Linked DNA regions of Notamacropus eugenii. The main gene of each other region encodes a partner of the protein of the gene in region 3 in a complex. Links are inferred from orthologs where the notes say so. Each region holds a gene or a part of one and is shown on either strand. Other genes may lie near its edges.

Region 1 (7,759 bases), on a different chromosome or scaffold from region 3:
GACTGAGATTCTCTCCAGACTTATTGTTTTTTCACTTTCTGACCAGCTACACTCCATCATCATTCTCCCAGGAAAATCATAACCTATAAGCTTTGGTACTCAAAACTCTTCAGTACCCTCTGATTGGAAAAGAAGAGAGCAAAGAACTCATCCCTAAGCCTCCATTTAAAAAGGGCTCGTGCACCAGTCAACTCTTTTCCCACCAGATGCACTTCTTGGACTAGACTCTACCATGCTCCCAGTGCAGGATACCTTGCCCATACCTCCTTTTTCAGCTTTTGTGTATTGTCTTCCTGTTAGGGAATGCCTTATTTGTTTCCCTACTGCTTAGTACAGGTCCTGGCACATAGTAGGTACTTAATATTAAGTAGCTGACTTGCCCAATTTAGATATTGGATGTGAGAAGTTTAAACTGATTTACTTTTTTTTTGGATCCTATTTACAATTCACTTATTTTGTCCTGTTAACTGCCTTAATCAGGGTTCTTTGTCCATGAGCATAGTCCAGAATTCAACTGGCCTGTAAAAGGTTTAAGTTTAGAAACCCAGTTCTCTTTAGCTAAGCTCAGGATGTGGTTTGCCATAAGGGTCTTTACACCACACCAAGCAATCCTTTCAAGAATATCTAGTTTGTTATCCAAAGTCACTAGTTCTTGAAGCTGAATACTTTTTAGTCACAGGAGGAAAGGAGGTGGTCACTGCTAGCGCCCCTCATTACCAAACTTCCAACCAATCTTGTACCCCATACCTCAGTTATGTAACCATCAACTATTGGGTTCTCAACACCATACATATTACCTGCTCTGTACTGTTTTTCTGTTCTATGCTTACAAAAATGAGCTGCATCTTCAATTTGGGGTCTTTGGCTAGAAACTGAAGCAGCCATTGACCTCAGGTTCATGCCCAGTTAATAAAATTGTTATCTTGGTCCGAGATATTTGCTTCTATTTACATTTTTCGTTAAATTTCACTAGCAATAGTGGTCATTATCTACCAGATCCTAGGTTATTTTCCCTCCTTTCTCAAGTTTTTACAGGCTCAAGACTTCTCAACCCAATTTATACCTCAAAAATGTCACTGGGAAACATTTAACAATAAAAACACAGTACAACTTAGTATCACATTTTTAAATTAAGCTAATATGGGGCCAGCAGGGATCCTGATGTACAGATTAGTAGACTTTTGACAGGTCTTTACCGGTAACTTGATGCTATAAGAGCTGATCAACCTCTGGTTCTCTAATGCATCACTAAATTACCTTCTGCCTCTTTGGTGGGTGGGGCCATTACCCCAAAGCTTCCAATTAAGGATCTTCCAGTTCTGGCCTTATTTCTCACCTGTCTGCACTTTCAAGTCCCAGGAAGTTCATTATTGGAAAAAACCTCTTCATCTTGCAAAAGATCTCAACAGCCATGGTTACTCCACCTTATCACCACCCTCTGTCCCTGACTGGAAAGAGAAGCCATGGACTACAAAACCTCCATTTAAGCAGGGAGATTACAGAACACCCAATTTCTAACCTCTCTGTACCATCTGGGATGTCTGATGTACCCACTCGGTGAGCATGGAACTGTCACCCCATCCCTTTACTACGGTGCCTGGCACATAGCAGGCATGGACTAGTACCGATCACTGCGGTAGGGGACTTCAAATACATGCCTTAATTCCTTCAAACACCAGAAACTATTACTTCAACAGCCTCAATTCCTATGACCTATTCCATGCAGCTAAGAGGGGGCAGTGGATAGTGCTGAGTCTTTTCCTGCATCGGTACTGTTTATGGGTCCCCTTCCTCCAACACACGGCACAGTGGGGAGAGAATAGGAAAACACAATTACAAAGAAACCCTTATCTGATCCTCACAACCTTGCTAAAAGGTAGATGTTATTATCACCATTACTTTACAGTTGAGGAAACTGAGGCAGGCAATAGGCTAAAAGTGACTTGCCCAGGATGATAGAACCAGTAAGTCCCGCAGGACTTTAACTTGGGTCCTCCTGAGACCCAGGATTCGATCTGGTGGTCAACGTATTTGTCTAGAACGGGTAGTTTTTCTTGTCATTATTCAGAAATGTTATACAAATATTATGTATAATTATTTCTTTTACTAAAGTCCTAGGTGAATAGCCAACACTCACCTTTTTCCCCCAGGAGGATTTCTTTTTCTCTCCCCCTCCAGTGACAGGAGTTAATTGGCTGTACTTGGGAGCAGTTTTTGGCTAGTTTCCTAATTTTCATCCAGTCATAAGAATTCCCTGAGCTTCCTTTGTACTTTAGCTAATTTGGAGACCATTTTACTCCATCTCCAACCTTTTTACGATCCAATGGGGAGGAGGGGAGGCACACAGCGAGGCGGTCTCATGGCAAAGCAGGCCTGGGCAAGTCACTTTTCACCCTGTTTGCCACTATTTCCTCGGTTTCCTCATCTGTAAAAGGAGCCGGAAAAAATGTCCCCCCCCCCAGGCTCTCTGCCAAGAACACGAGCTGCGGCACGGAGGGGGGTCCCTGCAGGCTGGGCCCGGCCCTCCCTCCTCCCCACCTCCCTGCGAGCTCACGCGTCTCCCCAACCGCCCCGCCCAGGCTCCTCCCGCCCGCGCGGCCTCGGACGCGTCTCTCCGTGGTCCCGATTACATCAGAAATGCCACTCACCATCTCCCCGCGCGCTCACCCGTTACGTTACCAGAACCTCGGGTTCCCAAAGCCCTTCTCGTGAGGGCTCGTGCGGCGCGGAGGAACCCGCTGAATCTCACCCACGTGGCGCCTCCCCTCTTGGGGCCTGCTTCCTGTTCTATGAATGGGGTTCCGGAGAAGCTCCCGTTTCTTTAATCACGCCGATTAAGATCGAAATATCGGTGTGGCCCGAGGGAAGAAAAAGTATTACCGACTCCCACTAAGTGGGGCATTCCCACCGGGCCCACGACCCAGCCGGCGCTCCTGGGCCTCCGACATTCGCGGAGGATTCGTCCCAGCTAGCCCCCCACCGGGGCGAGGCCCAGTGGAGGCCGCACGGCGAAACCCGAACAGGGCCTCCTGGCTCCTCTTAAGGGCCAAGTCACCAGAGGCCTAGTGAGAAGTCTGCCCCGGGCAGGGAGGAAGACGGGAGAGAGAAAGAGGGCCACTCACCATGCGCTCCCTTCCACACTCGCAGAGATGAAGGCAGACCTACAGGTGCGCGAGGAATAAAAAGGACGCTGGGAGCTCGCCGCCTGACTAAGAAGGGTGACGAAATCTCGCGAGATCAGGTGGCTGCCGGCTGAGAAAGCGGGAGCGGGATTGGCGCGAGGAGGAAGGCGGAAGCGGAGAGCGTGGGGAGGAGCCGGAGTGGGAATGAGGTCGTGCCCCTCCCTCGAGCGCCATCTTGCGTGGCGGGGGCGGAGCCTAGAGTTCGGGAGCGGGTGGGGACATGGAGAGAAGGCGGAGCCAGGTGCGCTCAGTCCTCCGTCCAGGTTGCCATCGCGGCGGTCCGGACGAGCGGCTGACGCGGAGGGGGCGGCCGAGGCTCCGTAAGTGGGTCGGCCTGGAGTGTGGTGGGGCGGCCGAGGAGGAGGGAGCGCGGGGACCTCGGGGGAGCCCCGCCAACCTCCCTCGCCGCGGCCTTTGGCGGCCCAGCGCGATGTGAACCGGCTGAGCTGACGAGGGAGACCCGAGTTCGAGCTCTGCCCGGGGCCCCCCGCGGGGGGTGTGGCCCCAGCCAGGTCCCGAGGCCTCTTTTAGCCTGTCAGCCAGTGAAATCTTAAGTGTTTATTGTGTGGTCGCTGCGCTGCTAAGCGCCCGGAGTTCCAGGAAGGGAAGGGAACAAGCGTTTATTAAGCGCCTGCTGTGTGCCTGACGCTGTGCTAAGCGCTACCTTGCCAGGCCGCGCTTTCACCGTCCCCATTTTACAGATGCGGAAACTGAGGCACACAGAGAAGTGATTTGCCCAGGGTCGCCTAGCTGGCTAGGGCTGCATTTGAACTCGGGTCTTCGTGACTTGAGGCTCAATCTACCAAAGTGCATTCCTGCCTGAGACAGAAGGGCACCACTGAAGAGGTTGAGGGGTGAAGGGGGACCCCAAGATACCGACGGTCCAGGTGGAGCTTGAATGAATTTCACTCAAGCCTTCTCAAAGCCAAAGAAAACAAAGTTTATTAAGGATTCGCCTAATTGAGTTGCCTCTTAAGCAGCCCAAGCATGTGTAAGGCTTGTATTCACAAGCAGGCTAGATGGAATCCCAGCTAGACAGAGTCTGAGCGCCTTCATGGGGGCGAGATGGAACTTAAATACAGAAAAGACTGTAGGAGGGATCTGGGGGGGTGGTCTGGGGTCCAGGGTGATGGGAGGAGGGGTTTAGGGAGGGTCTTGAGGAGAAGTCCTAGGAGGGAATCCAAGGAGGGTCACAGGCTGGAAACAGCTGGAGGCTATCAGGAGATAGCAGACATTGGAGGGTTTGGGTGGGAAGCAGGTGGGGCAATCGAGAGATAACAGGTAATGGTCCCAGATTTGAGTATGAAAAGCCAGGTTCTGTGGGGAGATACCCGAGGAGCTCAATTTGTGTATAAAAGGTCAGGTTAAGTGAGGAGATTCCAAGGGAGCTCAAGGAAGTTCCCAGAGTCTGAACCTCATCACCACATGCCCAGCACAAGGCCCTAGGAGGGCTTCCCAAGGGGTGGGGAGCCCCTCCTCTGGCAGGTAGTGACAGGGCCTGGGCCAGGGTCAGGGGACACAAGGGTGGAAGTTTCCCCAACCATGATGTGGGGGTGATGATGCTTGGCATTTATGTAACCACTTAGCAGCACCTAATAATATTGCCTTTCTTACTGGGTCTAAGAATCCAGGGAGAGAAGGAGGAGGACTTAACAAGCTACCGTGTCATCTAGGTGCTAGCGATGGTCTTCCTTCAGGAAGATATGCCTCCTACTCTCAAGCTATGAACTTCTGCTGGGGAGGCTGGAGCTGTGTTCTGATTTGCCCCATGTCATATCTGTCTTGAACTAGCAGCTGACGCAGGGATTCTCAACCACTAGCTCTTTATGTTTTGTCTCTGGTCATCCCAGATTTTCAGAGGGCCATTCTGCCTTTTGGTTCCCCACTTATCTGTGCTGGTGTAAAATCCTGGGCAAGTGTCATGCCTTGGTTGTTGAATGCTTGGACTAGTAAAGCAACAGCCAAAGGGCCATTTAAATGTACCTTTGTACAAACTACCTGTATTGTGTGCCAGCCCCTAGGGAAGGTGGAGATTAAAGAGTGTTGTCTTTTCTTTTTTTGTGTGGGGATGGGGGGAAGGAATGGAGGCTTTTTGTTTTCTGGATCAAACATCATTTCAAAGGTATAGGAAACTCCCTGTGAAGAAAGGCCTCCTATTTCTATACAGAAGGCACCACCTACTCTGCAGTTTAGAGTCTTGGAAAAGTGCCTGGGGCACTGAGAAGGAATTTGCCCAGGGTCAGGTAAACAAACAAGAAATACAGAAAAGCTTTTGGTTGTGTTGGGGGTTGCTCTTCAACCTCAAACAGCTAATCAATGTAATACAAGTAATAAGTTATATATTTTTAAAATGTTGCATTATTGTACAGTGATATACCTACTTTTAAGCAATGAAACTGAACACCTACTCTTCAGTAAGCTGTTTTTTTTCTATTGAGAAGACAGAAGAACTGTTACTGTTCTAACCTGTCCATCCCCAAGGTAGCCCCATCAATAAGACCCCATTCTCCCTGACTCATGTTATCTACCAAGTGCCACCCTCCGAACAACTTATTCAGCATCTGATGCTTGTTCTTGTGAGGAAAACTTACAGTTCCTGAAGCCAAGAAGTCAACCTCTTTGAATTGCAAAAAATTAAAACTGGCACTGAAGAGGCGGGCCCTCAGGGAAGAGATTTCACCAAGTCAAAGATGGTATAGTAGGATTTTTAAGTTTAAGTTAGATTACAAGAGATGATTTTTAATAGAATAGTATAGAAGGAAGTGCAAAATACAGCCTATATATGTACACACACGCACATACATATTGTGGAACGAGAGTCATGGGTTGGGAGGTGGATTATCAAGGAAGGCTTTGAAAGAAGTGTTGAATTTGGATTGTATTTCACTTTGGGATCACTTGAGAAAGGCAGCACTGAAGACCCCCAATAGGAAGTCAAGGGTGGCAGCTAGTGGTCTGGTGGATAGTACTTTGGACCTGGAATCAGAGAAGGAGATCTTAGTTCAGATTTGGCCTCAGATACTTATTGGCTGTGAGACCTCAAACAAGTCAGTTTACTTCGGTCAGCCTCAGTTTTCTCAACAGTAAATGGCAATAATTAATAGCACCTACCTTCCCAGGATTGTTGTGAGGATCAAATGAAATAATAGTTGTTTTAAAAAAAAGGCACTTAGCACCTTTCCTAGCACATAGTAGGTGCTATATAAATGCTTAATCCTTCCTTCTCTTTCTCAGTAGTTATTTACAATTTTGTCCACATTTTCTGAGATAATCTACAAGCATTTACAAGGTTCTGGAGATACAAAGACAAAAATAAAACAATTTTTTCTCTCCAGTATATATTCTGTTGGTAGACATGGGATAGGCACAGACTTGAAGTCAGGATGTGGATTCAAATTGTAATCATTTAACCTCTCTGTACTTCAGTTTCCTCATCTGTGAAATAGACAAACATGTTGGACTCTGATCTCCTTAATAAGGTCCCTTTGGGCACTTAATTTATGATCCCGTGATCTTCTAAAAAGTATCAGGACTGGACCTGTGCTTTCATTAGTGTGGGGAATTCACTGATAATGAAGCTTTCTCTGCTGATGCAGTTTAACCCGTTCTCTGAAAATTATGTACTGTAGTTTTCAGAGAATTCACTAGGGCAACAAGGTTAACTGATTTGCCAGGAGGTCACACAGACGGTATGGTTCAGAGTTCTGATTTCCTGATTTGGAAGGCAATTCTCTGTCCATTACAGCATACTGCCTCTCACCCTATCACTATATACAAAATAAATAAAAGGTTTTTGGAGGAAGGAGGCAACTAGGGAAAGTTCTGTCATGTAACAGATAGTGCTTGATCTGAGCATTGGTGGAAACCAGAGTTTCTAAAGAATCGAAGTGAAGAGGGAATGCATACCAGCTAAGGGATGTGCAAGGCACAGATATGATTGAACAGATGGAATGCCCCTTGTGAGAAGCAAGGCGGCCAGTTTCCCTGGAGTGAAGAATGTAAAAGGGAATATTGTATAATAAAGCTAGGAAGTATAAGGAGGAGCCCAGGTGCATAGGGTGGCAAAGAAAGGAATTCCTATTTGATCCTAGGACTAATGAGCAGCCACTGAGATGATTGAGCAGGGGTATAATACGGTGAGATTTGTGTTTTAGGAAAATCCTTTTGGCAGCTCTGTGCTGTATGGACTGGAGTGAGGAGAGATGAGACAAAGAGACTCACTGAGAAGCCACTTCAGTAGTTTAGGCAGAAGTGACTGTGTGAGTAGAGAGGGCAAGTCACTTCACCCTGTGTGCCTCAGTTTTTTAATCTGTAAAGTGGGCTGGAGAAGGTTTGGCAGACCACTCCAGTATCCAAAGAAAACCCCAAATGGAGTTGAAGAGGTTGAGGGGTGAAGGGGACCCCAAAATACCGACAGCCCAGGTCATGCTCGAATGAATTCCACTCAAGCCTTCTTAAAGCCAAAGAAAACAAAGTTTATTAAGGGTTCGCCTAATTGGGTTGCCTCTTAAGGAGCCTAAGTATTTGTGATGCTTGTATGCACAAGCGGGCCAGATAGAATCCCAGCTAGACAAGAG
Region 2 (7,643 bases), on a different chromosome or scaffold from region 3:
GCACTCCGTAGCCCTCCAGAACCCAGGTCACTTCTATATCATGAGCCACTGCAGAAGGACTCTGTGGAGGAAGAATGCTGAAACACATTACAAATAAGGAATTACGTGGGAGAAGTATAAAATATGACATCAAAGAGTATGATCAGACTGAAGTGAACTCATCACCACATAGACAGGCAACCAGTGAACTAACCAGCCTTTGTGCTCTACTAGGATCCACACAATGGAAGAGGATGCAAGAAAGGGCCCAATGAGAGCATTAATGAAAGTAAATAAAAAAACACAGGCTGGACAGGGATGAGTTGCAATCTGTACCACTGGAGGGAATACCCAAATTGATAAGAATGAATTACCCTTTGAAGATATTTATGTTGCAAGTGCATTACAACTCATTTGACCCTTCACAGTAACTGTAAGATAATATATGTATTTTATATTTATGTTATCCCCATTTCACTGATGAGGAAACTAAGAATTAGAAAGGTTAAGTAATTTATTCATGGTCAGTCACACAACTAACGAGTGTCAGAGGCAGGATACAAACTCAGGCCACTCCTGACTCTAGATCCATTTCTCTTTCTCCCACAATAGCAGACAGTAATAATACTAAGTAGTATTATTGCCTTGGGGACTCCATCATCCTGCACTGTCTTGTTCTCCTCCACTCTCTTCCTAGGATCTTAACCACAAAAATTTGAAAACATACTACAGCTTTACAAAAAGTACATAGCTTTAATCACTTATAAGAAGATGAAAAACAAGGGAGCATGGTACCACAGGAGCAGACAGGTCTAGGGTGTCAGATAAGGATTCAGCATTTAACCAGGGGCCTACCTTTCAAATAGGACGAGTTGAGTCCAATTGGTAGGTAGTGATCAAGAGTCTTCTTTCTCTTGGAACCTAAAGAGAATAGATTGTCAGAGTAGACAGATTGTCAGATTAGACAGAAAGTACTTCCTAGAAATGAACTGGACAATCAATCAAGAGAAGTCACATATCTTTCCCATCTGACGTGTTTTCTCAGAAAAGACTCTTCAACTAATCTGGGCTATGTGGAAACAGTGGGAGGAAAAGGATGAGCTTGACCACTGTTGAATGTATATATTAATAATCATAGTGTTCTCATTTAAGTGTCATGAGAACCCTGTGAAGTAGGTATTAAGATGATTTTAAAGCTGAGCAAACTTATGACTTATCCATGGTGACAAAGCTGGTAAGTATCAGAATCAAAATTTCAATTGAGGTCTTTATGAATCTGAGGCTGAGAACACAATCCACTTGGACCCACTGTGGATCCAGATGTAGGATTCATGTCCTAACACCTCGGGGAGAGGAGGTTGGAGGAGAAGGAAAGAAGGAAATCCTTGCTCACCGGCAATTAGTACAGGTATAGAAGACAGTCTGTCCTTCATCAGCTGAGCGCATCTGCCGGGTATGATATGCCATTCCTTCATGACCACAGTTGGAACAGCGCCTGTCAATCTGAGAAATCAGTAAATTAGGAGGGACTCATAGCTCCCTGCTCAAAAACTTTCAGTGGTTCCTTAGTACCTATAGAATTTAATATCAACTTGTGCGCCAGGTATTTTACGGTTTTCCCACCACAATCTATGTCTAACTTAGCTTATTATTTATAGTATTCCCCTGCTTGTGCTCTACAGCCAGACAAAAGGGATTAATTAACTAGCTGTTTCCTGATCCTAACTGTAGCCTATTGACCATTTCTAAAATGTGTTCACCTGTTGAAATTCTTCTCTTCCTTTAAGGCCCAATGTAATACAGCAGAAAGATGCTGAATTTGGATCTGAGATCAAATCCCAAACTGCCCAACCCAAGAGCTGTTTGTTTCTAGGCAAGTCACCATCTGTCTGGGCCACAATTTCATTTTCATTGAATGAAATCAGACTGGATAATCTATAAGGCTCCTTCTATCTCTGGTAGCCTAAGATTTACAACTCCTTTATGAAACCTTCCCTTATCTTTCAGCTAAAACTGATCTTCACCTTCTCAGATTATCTTGTATTTTGCATGAATTAGATTTAGCCTTTACCAATCCACTTTGCCTCAAAATATTACACACTGCAGGCCCCTATTATATCTAATGATATGATGCAGTACACAGAAAAGATAATAATTATTTGTTGAATCTGCTGGCTTGATCCATACATATGTTAAGACTTCGAGATCTAACGTCTCATGGAGCCATGTAACTGAAGCGGAATGACTCTCACTCAACTCACCACTGGTCCCTGGAACTCGGGCCCCTCTTCCTCTGGCACCATCAGGGGTGTTCCCAACTTGTGGAACACGACCGAGGTGGCCACCACCTTCCCCTCGAACTCTGGAAGAGAAGGAGGAGGGCTGCTCGTTGCTCAGGCACAAGGTGAGATCCTGCACCGTTTCCCCCGGCCTCTCTCCGTCCCTACGGGTCCCACCCCCTGGTTAATGGCACCTTCAGGGCTGGCCTCTGGACACCAGACTGTCTCTCAAGCTCAGGGCCTTCCCCCACAACCTCCCTGCACCGAGAATCCATGCTCGTCAAAGCCTCTTATTCCAGAGGGGCTCTTACCCCGCACGTCTATGGAGAAATCACACCTGGGGCAAGTTACTGTGTCCAAAGTTCCTGGAAGAGGCAGAATTGAGCCGCATTCGGGGCAGAAATCCGAGTCCGAATGGAAGCTGGAGTCCATGGAGATGACCTGGGAGGAAGAGACTAAGCGGGGGCCATTCTTTTCTCCTCGCAGGACCTGGGGTCCGGCGAATCCCCTGCCTCCCTCCGCCCGTGACTGCTCTCAGTGCCCGACCCGCATCCTGCCCCAACGGTAGCTTCTCACCAGGATTCCGGCTCCAGGAGCAAGCCCGCGCCTCGGATCGGGACGTCAGCTCGCGCTGGCAGACGCGCCGGCCTGCGCTGGGCTGGGCCACGCGGGGCTGGGCCACGCGGGGCTGGGCCACGCGGGGCTGGGCCACGCGGGGCTGGGCTAGGGGAGCGCCGGGCTCTGGAGAGGCTGTAGCGTCACAGTGAGAACACGTGACCGCCTCCAGCATCCTGGAGCGCCGCGAGATTTCCGCGTCCCCGCAGCCCCGCCCACGGCGGACGTACGGGCGCGGCCTCTGTACCTAGGGTTATCTTCTAGACTCGAGCAGACGCTTCTCTCCTCTTGTCCTCCGGGTCTAGTCTCTGTCCCGAGGTCTGTTCCGCAGTGTGACTTTAAGGAACAACCTCCCCCAGGCCTTTGTCCCACTGCTGCTGCTGTTTGCACTACACAGTAAGGGGACCCGGAGGCTTCCCTATGGGTGCTGGAGCCGGACTCGCTGTGCGTTGTAGTTTTTTTTTTTTTTGCCTCTTCTCCCTTCCTAGGCCATGGCGGGGTTGGGGGGGGGGGGAGCCTTTGAATGATGGGAATTTAATCTCAGATGAATCAATCTGGCAAGAGTAGTCGGAGATCAGAACTCAGACATGAGCATAATTTCATCTCTTCCTCTCGACCCCAGACCTTCATTTTTATAGAGAAAATACAAGAAGCCAGGGAGTAAGGAGGATTTCCATGAGAAGATATGGTGTTCCCATTCATGAGATATTTGGCAAGGATAGATGATTTAGGTGTACACGGGCAGCGGCGTCACTCTTGGAGGTCTTTGTAGTTAAGGAAGCAATGAGTTTTAACAATATCTGTGAGATTCCAACTGGGTCATGTGCAACAGTGGAATCCATTTTAGTTATCAAATTAGCTGATCCATCAGTAAGCGTTTCTAAAATAGGTTTGCTTTTGTAAGTGGAATTTTTGTTTTTAGTCGTTTTTTCAGTAGTGTCAAACTCTTCATGGAATTTCACAGATATTGTTACAACTCCACAAGAACCTCCAAGAGTGATGCTGCCCATGTAAGCGTAATAATACTTAATGCTTATATAGGAGCAGCTATAATACATAGGTATGTATCTATATGTATCTATAGGTACAATAGATAGAGCTCAAGGTTTGGAAACAGGAAGATTCATCTTCCCGAATGAAAATCCAGCCTCTCGGTTTACCAACTGTGTTATCACAAGCAGGTCACTTAACCCTGTTTGCTTTCCCTGTAAAATGAGCTGTATCTTTGCCAAGAAAACCCCAAATGAGATCACAAAGAGTCCAACAAGACAAACATGATTAAACAACAATGCTTATATAAAAAAAAGTATGCATTAAATAAACTTATAAAACATGCCAGGCCTATGCTAAACACTGAGAATACAAAGAACATGCAAAAAAATGATCTGTAACTTCAAGGAGCTTACATTCTAATGGAGACATGTATGTTAAGTAAGCACATGTAGAATAGAGAGAGGGTAGCCTTTGGAGGAAAGGTACTAGCTGTTGTGAAGGGACCAAGAACTGCAGAAGGGGGTACTTGAACTAAGTCTTGAAACCAGGGATTCCAAGAGGTATGGAAGTGAGGAGTTCATGGAGGGCAGTCAGTACAAAGGTGAGCAGATGGGAGAGAACTTAAATGTGTGAGGATTGTCAAATAGACTGGATTGTACAGTGTGTGAGGAGAGTAATGTGTAAGAAAACTGGTGTTGGGGCAGACCTAATTCATGTTGGAATGAAATGAAGCACTCATAGATCATTAGAATATCAGTTAACAAAATGTTTGCACAGCCATATCATAGAAAGGATATTCAACAAGGATACTCCAGCATTTTAGTTTGCATAGACCAGGAAATTTGTCTGGTCACCAGGGCAGAATGTGGTGATTCTACAGTCACAGGTTTTAGGACACCCACCAAATCTGAAGGACCTTGATATCCATATAGGTGGCTCACAGGTAAACCATGCCATTATGACCAGAGGCTACTTCAAGGAAAGCACAGTTTGAATACTCTCAGCCCCCATCAACTTCTTAGAACAACTTTGCTTCCTTTCAAGGAAAAACTAGCCTAACCCATGTAGTAGGGAAGGGGAGAGCTCTAATAGTAGTGATTTTATTGCAACTGGAAAGCTAGGAGGAGTCCAGGTTATGAAGGACTTTAAATGCCACATTGAGCTTATGTTTGATGCTATAGATAATGGGAAAATATTGAGTGTTTACTGAGTGGGGTAAGGGGCAGGATGGATGACTTTGTCAAAGTTACACTTTAGGAAAGTCACTTTATGTCAAGAATGGATTAGAGTGGGAGAGACTTGAGGCATAGAGACCAATTAAAAGGTTGTATATTTCAGAACAGGTAAGAAGTGATCTGAGGACCCAAACTGGGGTTGTGACTGTGTTAGAGAAAATATCTAGTGGGATATCAATTTTGCAATATCTAAATCATTTAAATATTAAGCATGCAATCTCATGTAACCTCAGACTAGGTCAGTGATGACATAGAAGAATGTTTGTGACCTTCCCTTGTGTTGACATCAACCTGCACTATAAATAAACCCATGTCAACAGCAACTTCTCATCCTAAAGGATGTCAGAAGATTATTCAGAGTATTAGGGACTAGAGTGTTGGAGAGTAACTCTCTTGAATGATGATTTGAGAGCAAGGGTAGGAAAGGGAAAGGTTGGTAACTAAAGCTTAGGGAGCAGACTGGGACAAAGAAGAACCAGAGTACAAAGATGTTGTATCTGCAGATTGAGGCCCAGAGGGCAAGAGCCAAGAGGCTACAGAAGGAGAAAGAGCTGAAATGTCCAGAGATAAGAAATGTGCCAGAAAAGAAAAGAAGTTCTAAGAGTGCTGGATCTAGTGTAGAAATATGGGATAATGGAATACCAGAAGAGAAGCCAGGCTCTCCTGTGTCCAGCTCTACACTCCCAGACTCAGAATGGGTAAAGCTAAGTCCTCAAGAGAAGTAAGCACAATTTTGGGTTATTGTTCCATTTTTGAACAAATCAGGGGGCAAAATTTTCCTTATTCTTCTCAGAAAGGGCAACTTCTTTACATTGGGAAAAACTACCCTTTTTCTCTCTTTTGTGTGTATGTATATGTGTATACATATCTACATATATATAAATATAAAATATACATATATAAATAATCTATGTATTTAATATATGTGTGTATATGTGTATGTATCTATCCACATCTAATGTAGTATTAGTGGGAAGGGAGAAAAAAGTCCTTGCTTGAGAAATACCCTTATTTACAGTTATATAAGCATTAGATTTCTTGGTCCAACTTTGTGATAGAATTTACTCATTATCTTAGTTATTTAAAACAGTTTCCAAAGTTTTAATACTTATGTCTTTTTCATTGTTTAGATTATCCTGGGCAAAAAGTACCGAAGACCCTCGCATTGCCATAGGTCATCACTCTCCACTAGAAAAAAAAATTGTGGTAAGTTAATTAGCATAGCACTGTGCAATAGAGAGTTATGGTATCTTCATTTAGCAAGTTTCCGTGCTAGCAAAATTTCCCAGTTCAGGTTGGAAAACAAAATATTAATATTTACATAATGCTTTAAGATTTGCAAAGCACTTTACAAATATGATCTCATTTGATTCTCATGGACCACAGCCCTCTGGGAGGTGGTGATACTATTATCCTCATTCTACAGAATAATTCTGAAGACAAGCTAAAGTGACTTGTCCAGATCACACAGTTATTGCTAGTTAAGTGTCTGAGACTGAATTTGAACTCAAGTCAAACTTTTGGGTTGAAAACTCTCAAAAATAATCATCATGGTATATATATTTCTTACTTTGTTAGCAATGAGGCCTCAATATATATATACATATATATGTATGTATGTATGTATGTATATACACTTAGCAGTGAAAGTGAATCAAGCCTAATTGCTATTTTTACCAAAGGTAGAGAAAGCCAGTCAGTGTCTTGTCTCTGAGGGAGCCTTCACTGTCTTCCCTTGTGTACAATAGTGTAGAAAAATGTAAAAAAAAAAAAAATCCCTTCATTTTGACAGTTTAGTTGGTCTACATACTTGTGTACAATAATGTAGAAAAATGGAAAAAAAAAAATCCCTTCATTTTGACAGAGTTTAGGTGGTGTGCATACTCCAGCAGCAAGAAATCTGTTAGCTCAAAGACATAAAGAGGAACATGAGACCCTCTCTAAAGAAAAGGCTATGTCTTTTGACCACCGACTTGCTAAGGCAGAGAATTACTACTATACGAGAATCATGGAAATGATGGAAGAACAGAATGAATTTAAAAAGCCCAGAATGGAGCCAGTGACAACACCAAAAAGCCAGAGAAGCTTAGAGTCTGAAGAATGGGACTACGTAGTATCAGAAAGAGAGTTAAAGCAAATAGAGTGTCACATACACAGAGCAGAACAGGCCAGATGTATGGATACAAAATGGGAATCATTCCCCCAAATCCCAAGCAAAACACATTTTCCCCAAATCCTTTCACCTGAAAGTAAAAAGGATGTCATCAGGATGACCCCATCGATGAGAAAGCAGATAAGAGAGTGGGACCGGAAGCAGCAGACAAAAGAACATCTAGAACGCATGATTCGAGGTAGAGAACTTAATGAAGAAAGAAACAAGGAAAGACTTTCTGTAAGAATCCCAAGTCATCCTCCTCCATTTCTAAAGCGTATAAAGAAGAAGAGCCATAAAAGATTTGGATGGAGCACTGCTTATCCACTTCTCCAACCTCACGATGAAAGTCCAATCAAACTGGATGTCCTTGTGGCAGAATCATCAGAA
Region 3 (7,802 bases):
AGCTAGCTGCTATCAATGATCAATTTAAAGTTGGAAGGGATTTTGCAGACCATCTACAGTCCAATTCTCTCATTTCACAGAAGAGAAACCTGTGGCCCTGAGAAGGGAAGAGACTTGCCCAAATTCACAAAAGTAAAGAGTAGCAAAGCCAGGATCCAAATCCAGATTCTGATTCCAAATTCAGCAAACGTTCCCCTGTGCCATGCTGCTATTCAAACAATCTTCTACAGATTTTTTTTACTTTTAAAATAGTTACACTTTCAACAAATACAAACAAAACATGGAATAAATTTCTAGATAAAATCATCAAATCCAAACATTATGATTGAAAAACAACAACATAAAAAATTTTAATAACAAAAATCAACTCATTCTTTGTCCTTTTTATTCACCTGTATATTTATAAAAAGTTAAGTGGTTTTTTTTATTCTGCTTTAGTCAACATATTGGTTGCTTTTCTTATTTTTTGACCATGTCTTTCATTACTTCATATATCTTTCCATATTTCTTTGCTGTTCTTTCTACATGCCAGTTAGTCTCCCATACCTAAAATGCAAAACCTCCCCACCTCCCGACCTCTTAGAAGGCCTCGTTTCCTTCAAGTTCAAGCTCAAGTTCTTCCTATACAGGACTTTTCCTTATTCCTGATTTACATCCCCACCCAAAAAAGTCAAATTATTCTGTATGGATTTACTTATATATGTACATGTTGTTTCTTCCTAATAGAATAGAAGCTACTTGAAAACATGGACTGTCTAATTTCTATCCCAGAACCTAAGACAGTACTAACACATATTAAGCACTTAAGAAATGCTTGTTGAAGAAGGCAATAAGGAGAGAAGGGGAGTTCATACAGACATTTGGTCACATGGTTAAGACATCAATTTCTTAATGGTACATTTGTTGGGATCTGCTTATATTCCAATATTCTTATAGGTAATATGCAGTATTTGGGGAGTCTTTTTCGCTACTATAGCAAATTCAGCTATATACGTAGGGAACAATTTAGAATAACATTTAAAACCTTTAACAGTATTAATAACTAGAGTTAAATCATCCTAAAAGTCCAAAATGAGTCCCAGAGTTCAATTCCAAGAATACTAAAATAAACATTTATTAAGTACCTGCTATGTACAAAAGCAGTGTGGCACCATGGATACAGGACCATCTTTCAAGTCATGAAGGCCTAGGTTCAAGTCTATACTTTGACAACCCATGGTCATGGAATTTCTCACTGCCTCAGGCAACTTCCTATACATATATATTACAGAAGATTTGTTGATCTGTGTCAGTGCAGGAAACTTCCACAACAAGTATTTCCCTACATCAATAAATTCACAGCTTCCAGACCAAAACAATATCAAACCACAGATCAAGTTAGGAGATTTAAAATCTCTTCCTTGAAGGAAGCTAAGATAATTTCTTCCCTGAAGGAGTCTAATGTTTAGTAGTTAAACAGAACCACTTCAAACTTCTGGCAGAATCAATATAATAATTAAAGACATCATCCTATGTCTAAAATTTTTGCGAAGATATATTTTCAAATGACATGACTGAAGAAAATATTTGGATTGTTCATCTATAAAACTTTGCAAATTATATTTCAGCATTTTCTATTCATTACAGAAATTTTTAAATGTAAGCAAACTTACCTCTGTAACATTGAGGCAAGTTGTACAATAATATGTTCCTTCATCAGTAACTCCCCAGGAAACAGCAGCACACTGCGTACAGGGTTCATTAAAGTCTCCCTGTAAAGGAAGAAAAATATGCATTCAATATATTTAACTCAAATATAAATCTAGACAGTGCATTTTCCATTACTGTATACTTCATTTAGCTACTCGGAGAGGTGTAGCTAAGTAGGAGGACAGGAACTAGAGGCCCTGACAAAGAAAGGGGGACTGAGAGGGTAGCAGATTGGAGAAGATGATCTTCGTGGTCCTGTCCTAAGAGATGCCACCAAAAATTCAGCATGAGGTGTGAACCAAAGAGGTTCGTTTTAGAGATATCAGGAAAAACTTCCTAAAAACTAGAGGTATACCAAAAAAGTGAGATGAGTTGCACCTTGATAATTTGTGTTTCCCCCACTTGGGAGCTGAATTCTGCAGGCAGAGGTTGGACCACTTGTTTGGTATATCCCTGCCCATATTCCTTTTATGTATGGATTGAACTGCATAGCTGCTAGGGTCCCTTCTATTCCCAAATTCTGTGATTTTGTGAAATTATCAGGTATGGGACAGATGGTCTGAAAAGTGAGGTCTTCTCTTTCAGGTGACTCACAGGACCCTGATAATGGAGTTACTGAAGAAAACCAGAATGCAAACTTTGACATAAAATGGGATATAAACCTCTTACACCGCAATAAGCTCAAAATGGATACATGACCCGATTAAAGGTTACACTACTAAAAAAGAGAATAATAAGGTGTGGCTGGGGAAAGAATTCTCAACTAAAGAACAGAGGTGATCCAAAAAAAAGAAAAAACATAATTCCAATGACACAAAGTTGGAAAGCTTTGACAATAACGAAATGAATCAATCAATAAACATTTATTAAGAGCCTACTGTGTGGAACTGCCACGTAGGATACAAAAAGAGACCACACACACACACACGCCCCTCATCTCCACGCTCCTCTCAATTCCAACCTGACTTAGTTATCTAAGTACGGCCATTTTCCTCCAGCAGAACCTAAGTTATTTAAGGGAAGGCTCCGTCCCACCCGGTGTTTGATCTCCCCTCCCCCATCCCGCTTCCTCCAGAGGCCAGCACATACTTGGGAACTCCTCAGGGGCTTAAACAAGCGTCTGTGGAATTCACGTGTGCGCACACTCCTAACGCTACATAACAACGGACGGTACCTCTTTAAACGAACACACACGTGCACTCCCGCGCACACACCCCGTCACATCACCTAACGGTCGGTACCTCTTCAAACACGCGCACACCCCCCCCCCCCACACACACACGCACACACACACGTACGCTCCCGTGTACACACACCCTCACACCCACACCCATTCACACTCCAGGCCCTCACTGCTCCCGGGGGCCTTGACCAAGCCCTCCCGGCCGGGCCCCGAGTCCTCACCGCCTCCTCAAACTCCATAGCGGAGCCCAGGTCTTCCGTTACTCAGAGAATGCACGTTCGCGCCGCGGAGGTTCCCGGAAGTCCTCAGGGGCACTCTTCCGGGGCGGAAACCACCGGCAGGCACTTTCGGTTCCGGGGCAGCTGCGTTCCTCCACGTCCCTCCCGGCGCAGCCGGATGAGGAGCGCTCGGGAATGGGGCAGCCCCGGCTCGGGAGCCGCCGCTCGCGTTTCCGCCGAGCTTCGGTTTCCAAGTCAGCCGGCTGGCCGCAGCCCAGGCAGGTCGGGATGCCGGCGCCTTCCTCCTGCGGCCACCCCCGGTAGCTGGCTCTTTTCCTGCTGTCTCTCCCGTTAAACCGTAAGTCCGAGGGCGGAGACTGTCTTTTCCCTTTCTTTTTTTTTGGTGTCCTTAGCGCTTAGCAGAGTGAAAGAGCATGGGTGCTTTATAAATGCTAATTGACCGATGGACTCTAATCAGAAGAACTTGAATGGGCATTCCACCCCATTCTGCAGGTACTTCTTGAGAGCGTGCCGTGTGCCGATCATTGTGCCAGGTGGTGGAGATACAGAGACAAACCCACACCCCTTTGTCACCGGGAGCTCACCAGGCGTTGGGTGAAACGTCTAGACAGAGGCCTGGCTCTGCAGTAAAGGAGACCAGACTTGTGGTCTGCCTCAGCCCTTTCGGAAGCTCGGTAACCAGGGCAAGTCGAGTCAAACCAAGTCAGCCAGCCTGCATCAAACTGTGCCCACGCCCTGGAGATTCAAAGAAAGGCAAAAAACGGTGCCTGCTCTCAGGGAGCTCACGGGCTTACCAAAAAGATCATAGTGGGAAAATATATACAGGATAAATGGGAGATGATCCCAAAGGGAAGGCACTACTAGACTTGGGGGGATCTGGAAAGATCTCCTGCAGTGAGACTTTAGCTGAGACTTCTGAGGGTCTTCCCCTCCCAGTTTTTGATCGATTGATTGATTAATTGATTGATTAAAGGGGCCTTGGCTGACTTCTTAAATAGGCCCAATCACTGTTTCGTCAAAGTGAGAACTCTCTCTCACTACATCCTGAGCCATGGCCAGTTGTCCTGATCTGTATCTGGTCACTGAACCCAGATGACTCTGGAGAAGAAAGTGAGGCTGGTAACTTTGCACAACCTTCCCCCACTCAAATCCGGTTCAGTTGCAAGTCATGGCATTATCTTCCTCATGTCATGGTCCTCTTCCTGAATGAAGGACAATCCACAACCACAGCTGAGACTTAAAGGAATCCAGAGAAGCCAAGGGGGTGAATGTGAGGAGGGGGAAGGTTCTAGACATGGAGGACAGCTAATCAAAATGTGAAGACATGAGGTATAGGGCACACTCCATCCAGGAACAGCAAAGAGACAGTGTCATTGAAACATGGAGCATGTAGAGGGGTGTAAGGTATAAGAAGACTAGGTAAGTAGAAGAGACAGATTATGAAGGGGCTTTAAAAAGCCAAACAGAGGATTTTATATTTGATCCTGGAGGTAATAAGGAGTCTGTTGAATGGAGGGGAATAGGAGGGAGGTTGGTGACTTGATCAGACTTATGCTTTAGGAAGATCACTTTGGTAGCTGACTGGAGGCTGGACTATATGTAGTGAGGTGAAATTTGCAGCAGGAGAACCTTCACCAGGGTGGTGGCAGTGTCACAGGAAAAAACAGAGTTACAACATGGTAGCCCAAAATACTGATATCTTAGGCTATATTGAAAGGTTTAGGATCCGGGACTGAGAAGATGACAATTTCTCATGTCTTCTGTCCTAATCAGACCACATCCAGAGTACCTGTTAAAATTCTGGTAAATGCATTTTAAACTGGAAGGCAATTGATTTGAAATGGTTCACAAGACCATGAGAAAGTTAGATACTGTGTCACGGGAGGATAAAAGATCCTTTAAAGGAATTGAGAAAGTTTAATATGAAGAGAATATTGGGGACATGTTCATTTCCTTCCAGTGTTTGAAGGGCAATTGTGGGGGGTGACAGGGAAGGATTGCAATTAGACATGTTCTCCTTGGCCTCAGTGCCAGCACTGGGACTAGATTTCAGGATGATGTAGGAGAAGGGAGGAAAGCAGTATGGGCAATGATAAGAAACAAGGCGCACAAGAGGTAACAAAGTTTCAGAAAACAAAGCATGTTAATGTAGGTACTTTAAAATGACTTGAGGGGGAGGAGCCAAGATGGTGGAGTAGAAAGACACACATATGCTAGCTCCGAACCCACAGCCCATAAAATATCTGTAAAGAAGAACTCCCAACAAATTCTGGAGCAGCAGAAGCCACAGAACAATGGCGTGGACAAGATTTCTGTTCCAGAGAGCCCTGAAAACCTGACGCAAAAGGTCCATTCATGCCCCAGACCAGAGCAGAGCTCAGCCCTGCCTCAGCCTCGTGGTGCCCAGAGGAGCAGATCTGAGCAGGCTTCAGGGACAGAATCTCCAGCGCCAAGCAAGTCCCTCCACCCACAGGTGACAAGGGTCGGTGAGAAAGTCTTTTTGGGTGGCGGACGGGAGTGGGGTGTCCCCGTGGCTCGGGCCCCCCTTGGGAGGCAGCAGCGGAGGTGGCGGGCGGACAGGGGCTTCCCAAGCAGGCAGGAACTCGGATCCATTGTTGAAGGTCTCCCCATAAACCCCCTGAGGGAACTGAGCCTGTGAGGTGGCCCTGCCCCAACCTGAGCAGCTGAACTTAATCTCACATTGAATAACAGCCCTGCCCCCACCCAAAGCCCTGAGGCTGGGAAGCAGCATTTGAATCTCATACCCCAAGCACTGGCTGGGTGGATCTGGAGGCAAAGTGGGTGTGGAGAGGACACTCAGAAGTCAAGTCACTGGCTGGGAAAATCCCCAGAAAAGGGAAAAAAAATAAGACTATAGAAGGTTACTTTCTTGGTGAACAGATAATTCCTCCCTTCCTTTCTGATGAGGAAGAACAATGCTTACCATCAGGGAAAGACACAGAAGTCAAGGCTTCTGTATCCCACACATCCAAAATAAATATACCATGGGTGCAGGCCATGGAAGAACTCAAAAAGGTTTTTGAAAATCAAGTAAAAGAGGTGGAGGAAAAACTGGGAAGAGAAATGAGAGAGATGAAAGAAAAGTATGAGAAGCAGGTCAGCACCTTGCTAAAGGAGACCCAAAAAAATGCTGAAGAAAATAACACCTTGAAAAATAGGCTAACTCAATTGGCAAAAGAGGTTCAAAAAGCCAATGAGGAGAAGAATGCTTTCAAAAGCAGAATTAACCAAATGGAAAAGGAGGTTCAAAAGCTCGCTGAAGAAAATAGTTCTTTCAAAATTGGAATGGAACAGATGGAGGCTAATGACTTTGTGAGAAAGCAAGAAATCACAAAACAAAACCAAAAGAATGAAAAAATGGAAGATAATGTGAAATATCTCATTGGAAAAACAACTGACCTGGAAAATAGATCCAGGAGAGACAGTTTAAAAATTATGGGCCTACCTGAAAGCCATGATCAAAAAAAGAGCCTAGACATCATCTTTCATGAAATTATCAAGGAAAACTGCCCTGATATTCTAGAACCAGAGGGCAAAATAAGTATTTAAGGAATCCACAGACCACCGCCTGAAAGAGATCCAAAAAGAGAAACTCCTAGGAACATTGTGGCCAAATTCCAGAGTTCCCTGGTCAAGGAGAAAATATTGCAAGCAGCTAGAAAGAAACAATTCAAGTATTGTGGAAATACAATCAGGATAACACAAGATCTAGCAGCTTCTACATTAAGGGATCGAAGGGCGTGGAATAGGATGTTCCAGAAGTCAAAAGAACTAGGACTAAAACCAAGAACCACCTACCCAGCAAAACTGAGTATAATACTTCAGGGGAAAAGATGGTCTTTCAACGAAATTGGGGACTTTCAAGCATTCTTGATGAAAAGACCAGAGATGAAAAGAAAATTTGACCTTCAAGCACAAGAATGAAGAGAAATATGAAAAGGTAAACAGCAAAGAGAAGTCATAAGGGACTTTACTAAAGCTGAACTGTTTACATTCCTACATGGAAAGAAAATATTTGTAACTCTTGAAACTTTTCAGTATCTGGGAAGTTGGTGGGATTACACACACACACACACACACACACACACACACACACACAGAGACAGAGAACACAGAGTGAGTTGAATAGGATGGGATCATATCTTAAAAAAATGAAATTAAGCAGTGAGAGAGAAATATATCGGGAGGAGAAATGGAGAAATGGAATGGGGCAAATTATCTCTCATGAAAGAAGCAAGCAAAAGACTTTAGTGGAGGGAAAAAGAAAGGAGGTGAGAGAAAAACATGAAGTTTACTCTCATCACATTCGACTAAAGGAAGGAATAAAATGCACACTCATTTTGGTATGAAAACCTATCTTACAATACAGGAAAGTGGGGGAGAAGGGGATCAGCAGGGTGGGGGGGATGATGGAAGGGAGGGTAATGGGAGGAGGGAGCAATTAGAAGTCAACACTCTTGGGGAGGGACAGGATCAAAAGAGAGAATAGAAGAAATGGGGGGCAGGATAGGATGGAGGGAAATATAGTTAGTCTTACACAACATGACTATTATGGAAGTCATTTGCAAAACTACACAGATATGGCCTATAATGAATTGCTTGCCTTCCCAAAGAGAATGGGTGGGGAGGAAGGGATGAAGAGAAGTTGGAACTCACAGTTTTAGGATCAA
Region 4 (7,176 bases), about 54 Mb from region 3:
CATTAATGACTTCATAAATATGAAAAACATTATTTGTATCCCTGAGCCTACAGAAGTAAAAGATGGTTACAGGAGATCAGGTTTATACATGAAAAGGAGAATGAAGCCAGAATCTCCTTTAAGTGACTTTATGGGGCAGAGTGACAGAAAATCTTCCCTGAATACCTGAACTCCCTCTGCTTCACTCTTTCATATTTCAAGCCTTTTGTATTTTCATCCAGCTTCTTTTTTCTTCTTTCAAAGAAAGAACTGAAGTCACCCTGCTTTCTCAAGGCTAACCCATCCACCTGTGCATTTGATCCTGTCTTCTACTGGGCCTTTCATACCATCATCTTTTCTTGAAGATTTTGAATTTACTCTTCCTTTAATTCTTTCCTTACTTTATAAGCATGCCTCCATATCAAAAGATGCCTTCCCCTGACCCTACTAACACTGTTTTACTATTTCCTTCCCCATTTTCAATGCTAAACTTTTTGGATGAGTTAGTCTATACTTGCTGCTCCCCTTCACACACTTCTCAAAGCCTGGTCATGTGCCTTCTGCTCTACCCCTCTTCTTTGAGGTCACTGCTCTGTCTTGTACCTTGTGTGGTAAAATGGGAAAAATACAGGAGAGCTAGGTTCAAATTCTGTCTCTAATGCTTCTGAGCTGTGAGACCACAGGTCTCTCACTCAGTTCCTCTGAACCTAACTTTAAGAAATAAACAAAATCAGAATAATTAAACCTCTAAGTGCCCTTCTTACCATTTCACCATATGGCTCAAAGGAGAAACTGGGATATGATGTACTTGGGAAAACTTAAATATTGGCTTCTATTATGTATTTTTGTCTTATCCTCTTATCTAGTAAACTCCATGGGGCAAGACTATGTCTTCTTAAGCTTTGTACATACTCGTGGGAATATCTCATATCATGTCCCCCACTCACACTGCTGAAGGGTGTGAAGTGGAAAAAGTTTAAGAAGCTCTACCCTAGAACTTAGCAAGATGAATCAAACAAACACTTATTAGGTGCCACATTACATACACAGGATGTTGATATAAAGACAAAAATCAAAATAATCCTGGCCCTAAAGGAATTTACGTTCCATGGGAAGAAGGTAGACAATAAACACATAATAAATACTGCTGAATAAATGGGAGGGAACACTCTCAACCAGCAACTATTCCCTTGCTCAAAATACCGCTTAATAAATTGTCAAAGGTAACAAGCATGACAAACAATCCTTTGAGTGGCTCTCATTAATTTCCAGGCTTAGTCAATTCAGTAGTATTTATACAGAACTTACTATGAAACAGAGACTATGCTAAGTATTGCAGATAAGAAGAAAGCCAAAATTTGATCCCAGTCTTCAAGAAGCTCATAGGGTAATGGGGGAGAGAAAGTAAAAACAAGATAAATACTGGAGAAACAACATGCAGATAAACTGGGGATCATCTCAGAGGAAAAGTACTAAGATTAAGGAGGACTAGGAAAGGCTTGTAGCAGAAGGTGGGAGGATAGTTTAGAAGACAGGAGGGAAAGATGAGGGCGAAAATGAGAGAGAGGGAAGGGAAGAGAGAGAGAGAGGGAGAGAGGAGACGGGAGAGGGGAAGAGGGAAGAAGGAGGGAGAGGGGGAGAGGGACGGAGGGGGGGAGGGAGAGAGACAGAGAGAGAGAGTCAGTCTCTTGCGAAGAAGGAGAGAATAACATTTCAGATCCTGCTGGGAATGAGATCCTCCCATATACCCGGATCTCCCAATTCCTCCCGGTCTCCAGGGCTCAGCCCTCAGCCTCTGCCCCGCCCCCAAGGACAGAGCCAGTCACGCGGGAACAGAGCGGGGCAAGGGGCAAGAGCTCGGCCCACCCCCGATACCGCGAGACGGGGATGGGGGCAGAGGAGAGACGGGAAGGTCGGGCCACGAGACCAGAGTAGGAGATAGAAGCTGGAGGGGGGGACACCAGCGTAGGAGGAGGAAGGTGGGAAGCCTGAAGGGGAAGGGGCACACTTCGGGGCAGGTCGGAAAGAGGGCAGGACAGTGCGGGGAGGAAAGCCGGGGGGCGAGTTATGGGGCAGGAGTCAGGGGAAGTGAGCCCCTGGGAGGGACGGCTGGCCCGCTCACCTGGACCGCGTGGCTGAGCCCCTCTCGCATAGCATAGTTGAAGGACTCGATGTGCGCCCGCGTGAGTTCCTGCAAAGCCGGCAGCTGCTGTTCTTTCGGGATCCCGTAACCCGGCTCGGTCAAGTGTTTCAGGCTGGGCCCGCCGGGTAGGTCCCGCCACTTACAACCGGGATCCATGCCGGTTAACAGCGTGGGAGAAACGAGCCACAGCTGCTGGACATCCCAGAAGGCAGTTCGTCATTAACTCCCGCCCCTCCCTCCTGTGGCATTCTGGGAAATGTAGTAAATGTAGTAAATGAAGTAAAGCGTCACATCTGCGCCAGCAAAAAAACCCAAAAAAACCAGACCCGTAACCGGAAAACTACAAGTCCCAGCAGCCCACGTGAGAAGTACTTTCTGTTTTCCTTTTCCTTTTTTTTTTGGTGATTTTTTTCCAAGTCCGCCCGGCTCACTGGCGGGTTACAGAGTTGTCAAACCCTGGGCACCAGGGTGCCCACAAAATTCCTTGAGATCCGCCGGAACCAGAACAAAATGTAATTAGGAACTATTTAGCAAGATAAGTAGATTAGTTTAAATAAATATACAAACGTATGGTATTGTAAATCAGTATCTCAGAGATCGTTAGTTTGAGAGCAGTTCCCCTCCCCCCCATTTGTGAATCTTGACTGTACCACCGTCTCCTGGTGGCCCACGCGTGTGGACTGCGGGCCCTGCGCCGCCTCGGCCCCCGATGCGCACGTTCTCCCAGGCTTTGCCTGAACTGAGGCTAGAAGTGTCGTCCCAGGCAGCTCCACATTCTCTACAAAACTCAGTTTCTCACTTTGTAAAATGGGTCTACTATTGCTTGAAAAGCTCCTTAATGAAGGGTAGTGACGTCATTTTCATCTTTGTATCTAAAGCACCTTTCTTATACTGGGCACTAAATAAATGTTTGCTGAATCAGACTGAATTAAAACATACACATCTTACGTTTTAACAATTGTAATGTAGACACGCTTAGGCAAAACAGAAAAGAATTTACGGGCCAATTAAGAATGAGAACGGTCCAAATGAAATGGATCACCTCATGATGTAATGAACACACTGTCACTGCAAGTGTTTCAATAGGAACCAGATGGCCGTCTGGCAGATGTTTCCTGCATTGGGTGAGAGGTAGGACTTGATCTCTGATCTTCCTTCCAACTTTGCATAATTTTAATATATATAACATCATAGTTTCCATTAGAATTTTTCTCCCTCCTGCCTCTACTTCCATTAGGAATTCGGGAAAAATAGTTTCCCCCCCTCATATTTAATTGATTTGGATACAGATATCAGGGAACTGTGTATAATGTAGTCACGAAAATCCCATCTGATCCATATACATACATTCATGCTCTGGTATGTCAACTACACAAACTCTTGATATTCTGTATGTATGCCAATTACTGTTACAGATATTTCTTTTCATTGTGGTTTGTTTTCCAAAGGTTGATTCTGTGGATACAATGTTATTTCTACATTGATTGCGCAGTGTTTTTTTCTAGGTAGGCAACAAAGTTTGGAGAACTGCCAGGAAATGCATTGAACATAGACATGCATGCAGTCTTGCAAAGGCCCTGATTACAGTTTCAACAAAGTGGTCTAGTCACATATGAGGCTGGTTTCACTTCTCTTACATGGCTTGAATTCCACTGCCATTTATTGTTGCAGTCAACCTCTGGGGGCAGAAAATGAGTAAGGGTACAATAATAATTGAAATATAGTAAATATGCTTTGTTTTAAATATGGAATTTGTTTTCTAACACAAATGACTGGCCATATATTGACTGAAAATTGTGACAAAAGTCATCATTCAAACGCTTTTCAATAAAACTGATTTAGATATGCTGAATCAGAAAGACCTCTAGCTAATTGGGAGAGGAAGGAACAAGGGGCATATTAGACAAAAAAATACTTTGCAATTTGTTGAAAAATGTGTTACTTTAAAATTAACACCCAATGATACATAGAAGTACAGAGTAAGGAAGCCCTTTCACAAACATGTGTTGGATAGGGTATTAGTCAGATATATTTGGTTGTGGTCCTTTGTTCTTGAAGAGGACCAAAATGACATCACTATGCCAGAGTCTCTTAAGTTTCAGTGTGTCTGATTATGGCTGATCAGACCAATATGAGCTTGGAAAGCTCTACCACAGATCAGGCACAAATTGTTCATGTGAACATTTGGGGGAGATTCTCTAAATTTGTTCATTCTGTGTTTCTTTTGAGCCACTTCAATTCTGCTTTGTTCATAGAGCACAGTGCCTTCTCTGATGTGGGCATGCCATGCTGAGTGGTCCTGCGCCAGTCTCTTCCATGTCACACAATCAATTCTAAAGTTCTTGAGAGACACCTTAAGAGTGTCCTTGTATTACTTCTTCTGACCACCATGTGAATGTTTGCCCTGTGTGAGTTCTCCATAAAACAGTCTTTTCGGCAAATGTACATTTTGTATTGGAACAATGTGACCAGCCCTTTGGAGTTGTGCTCTTTCTAGCAGTGTGTGAATACTTGGCATTTTAGTTCACATAAGGACCTCAGGGTCTGGTACCTTATCCTGCCAGGTTATCTTCAGAATCTTCCTAAAACAATTCAAATGGATGCTATTCAGTTTCCTGGAATGGAGCTGGTAGACTGTCCATGTTTCACATACAACAAGGTCAGCACAATGGCTCTGTAGACCTTCAGCTTAATATTCAGTCTAATACCTCTTCTCTCCCACACTTTCCTTTGGAGTCTCCCAAACACTGGGCTAGCTCTGGCATTCAACCTCTTTATCAATGTATACATTCCAAGAAGTATACTACCAAGGTAAGTGAACTTACCCACAGCATTCAAAACTTTTCCATTTGTTGTAACTGATGGTTCCATGTATGAATGATGTGGTGGTGGCTGATGGAACACCTGTGTTTTCTTGGTGTTAATTATTAGGCCAAAATTAGCACAGGCAGTGGAGAATTGATCCATACTTTGTTGCATCTCAGCTTCAGAGGCTGCATTGAGTGCACAATCATCTGCAAACAGAAAATCATGCACCAACACTTCCTCCACTTTCATCTTGGCTTATAGCCTTTTCAGATTAAAGAATTTACCATCAGTGCAGTAGTACTGATAAATTTTATATTTTAATGATCAAATTTTACTTCATTACATATTTTAACTTCAATTCAAAATTGTCTACACCTTTTGTTAATTTGGACAAAATATTCTTCCCAGTAACAGGATGCTATCATTCATCAAACTATTATTATGGGTTGTAATTGTAAATGTGTTATTTATCTGTATTGTATTATACATCTGTAAATGTTTTATTCTGAGCTCAATACATATTCTTCCTTAAGATGCCTTTATAGGAAAAAGTATTTTTCAGATAGGCTTTCTCAGTCACTAGCACCCGTTTTCTTTCAAGTTGTGGTATAGGAATCAGTATGATTTATGCTTTGTGAGTTTTTGGAAGAGGACTAATGCCAGTGTGGCATACAGATTACATATGAGAAATTTTAGTTTTTAATGAATTAAATCTCTCTAGCTTTTGAAGTTAATTTTTAACATTAATGTATTGCTGGTTGCTAACTGATGGCATTAGAAGCAACATATTAGTCAGTTCTCTGCAAGGAGCTAATTTAAGTAATCTGATGTGTAAGAAATCAATTAGAAAGATAGTAAAGGAATTTAAAGCATTCTGACTTCTGTTCCAACAAGCAGTTCACCAATTCTGAATTCAAGTAATATTCCTCCTGTGAGGAATCCTAGCATCACAAACCACATACTTGTTCCTACATTCTCTTGAATGTATTGCACTCAGTGTTACCAAAAAGCATTAGAGACTTCTTTTCTCTTCTTTTAGCATCCGTGACAAAAGTTATTTACCCTGTTGCCAGATAATGAGCTACCTTGGTATTTTCTGGAGTGAACCTCTACAAAACGAATGGAAGGAAACTACTGCTTAAAGATCATTCTAATAAATGATCATCATCAGATATCTCTGAATATGTACACATGATCCTTCATCCCAAGGATAGTTCAGATCAATGGATCAGGCTACGATCTCTTTTCACAGAAAAAGAAACAGGCATAAAAAGTTGAGACCTCCCCTAGAATCACACAATAAGTTAGTATCAAAATATAAAGGAAAAACACAGACTCCCCCTTCTCCCCCAGTTCTTAAGGTTATGGCAAGTAGGGAACCCCTCAAATGATAGACGTAGCACTTTTTTACTCTTATGCCCATCTATTACTCAGTATTTCTTAAGCACCTACAATGTGTCAGATGTTCTAGTTTCAGGGAATACAAAGACAAAAATGAAACAATCCCTGCCCTCATGGAGCTATTTTCTATTAAAAAAAAATCTTTTTTCTCTTGGAAAAGTTAACATTGTATTGCTTTGAGTCATAGTTTTTTCTGGCTATATACATTCTATTCTACTGTCCCTAGAATAGAGTAGAGTTTACAGTAAAAGCCATAACAGTTCTTTCCTCTCAGTTGCCTCATAAAATATGGTTTTATTTTAGATTAATCATGTTATCTATGTTACCTCTGGAATCAGATGTGGAAAGGACCTTAAGGATTATCTAGTCCACTTCCTCCCCCTATTTTGTATATTATAAAACTGAGATCAAGAGAGATTAAGTGACCTGCCCAACATCACAAGGTAGTCATTGGTGGAGGAGTAGAGACTCAATATCAGATCTTCTGACTCCAAATCTAGCATTCTCCCTTCTGCCCCATTCCACTTTAGTCTCTAAGGTCTCTCCCAGCTCTAAACTTCTTTGTTCCAAAAATAAAAAGGATAAAAACATTTTACTCCAGTGATCATATTGGGCCTTCAGAACCCTACAGTCCTTTAGGTCTTAACAGTATTTTTCACTTTCCTTGCCTGAGTTGATTAATTCCTATAAAACAAGAGGCTTATTGGTTATTGTAAACTCTGAATCTTCTGTCTAGTTCATACTACCCTGAGAATAAACTCAAAAAAACCCCAACCATATTTGACCAGACCCGGACCCTCACAAAGAGCCTTAAACATCAGCTATATTGAGATTTTGGAGGGCCT

The links.
Region 1: TAF1B (region 3) and TAF1D share a complex: the UniProt entries of both Homo sapiens proteins name them as parts of the transcription factor SL1/TIF-IB complex. The link is inferred for Notamacropus eugenii from reciprocal best matches to the Homo sapiens genes TAF1B and TAF1D.
Region 2: TAF1B (region 3) and POLR1H share a complex: the UniProt entries of both Homo sapiens proteins name them as parts of the pol I pre-initiation complex. The link is inferred for Notamacropus eugenii from reciprocal best matches to the Homo sapiens genes TAF1B and POLR1H.
Region 4: TAF1B (region 3) and POLR1B share a complex: the UniProt entries of both Homo sapiens proteins name them as parts of the pol I pre-initiation complex. The link is inferred for Notamacropus eugenii from reciprocal best matches to the Homo sapiens genes TAF1B and POLR1B.

Annotation. Positions count from the first base shown.
Region 1 is NC_092876.1:164,940,368-164,948,126, reverse strand, and holds the start of TAF1D (TATA box-binding protein-associated factor RNA polymerase I subunit D), read right to left. Parts: upstream 3,187-7,759; 5' UTR 3,123-3,186; intron 2,820-3,122; 5' UTR 2,668-2,819; intron 2,426-2,667; 5' UTR 2,238-2,425; coding exon 2,138-2,237; intron 1-2,137. Other genes in the region: C5H11orf54 (ester hydrolase C11orf54 homolog), read left to right, coding at 3,327-3,502. UniProt on the Homo sapiens protein: Component of the transcription factor SL1/TIF-IB complex, which is involved in the assembly of the PIC (preinitiation complex) during RNA polymerase I-dependent transcription.
Region 2 is NC_092873.1:83,973,852-83,981,494, reverse strand, and holds the start of POLR1H (DNA-directed RNA polymerase I subunit RPA12), read right to left. Parts: upstream 3,085-7,643; 5' UTR 2,835-3,084; intron 2,700-2,834; 5' UTR 2,691-2,699; coding exon 2,570-2,690; intron 2,342-2,569; coding exon 2,241-2,341; intron 1,483-2,240; coding exon 1,373-1,482; intron 901-1,372; coding exon 876-900; 3' UTR 835-875; intron 78-834; 3' UTR 1-77. Other genes in the region: putative uncharacterized protein ZNRD1-AS1, read left to right, coding at 5,590-5,822, 6,232-6,307, 6,966-7,643. UniProt on the Homo sapiens protein: Core component of RNA polymerase I (Pol I), a DNA-dependent RNA polymerase which synthesizes ribosomal RNA precursors using the four ribonucleoside triphosphates as substrates. Can mediate Pol I proofreading of the nascent RNA transcript.
Region 3 is NC_092872.1:549,076,136-549,083,937, forward strand, and holds the start of TAF1B (TATA box-binding protein-associated factor RNA polymerase I subunit B), read right to left. Parts: upstream 3,194-7,802; 5' UTR 3,112-3,193; coding exon 3,094-3,111; intron 1,752-3,093; coding exon 1,653-1,751; intron 1-1,652. UniProt on the Homo sapiens protein: Component of RNA polymerase I core factor complex that acts as a GTF2B/TFIIB-like factor and plays a key role in multiple steps during transcription initiation such as pre-initiation complex (PIC) assembly and postpolymerase recruitment events in polymerase I (Pol I) transcription.
Region 4 is NC_092872.1:602,816,440-602,823,615, forward strand, and holds the start of POLR1B (DNA-directed RNA polymerase I subunit RPA2), read right to left. Parts: upstream 3,051-7,176; 5' UTR 2,279-3,050; coding exon 2,102-2,278; intron 1-2,101. UniProt on the Homo sapiens protein: Catalytic core component of RNA polymerase I (Pol I), a DNA-dependent RNA polymerase which synthesizes ribosomal RNA precursors using the four ribonucleoside triphosphates as substrates.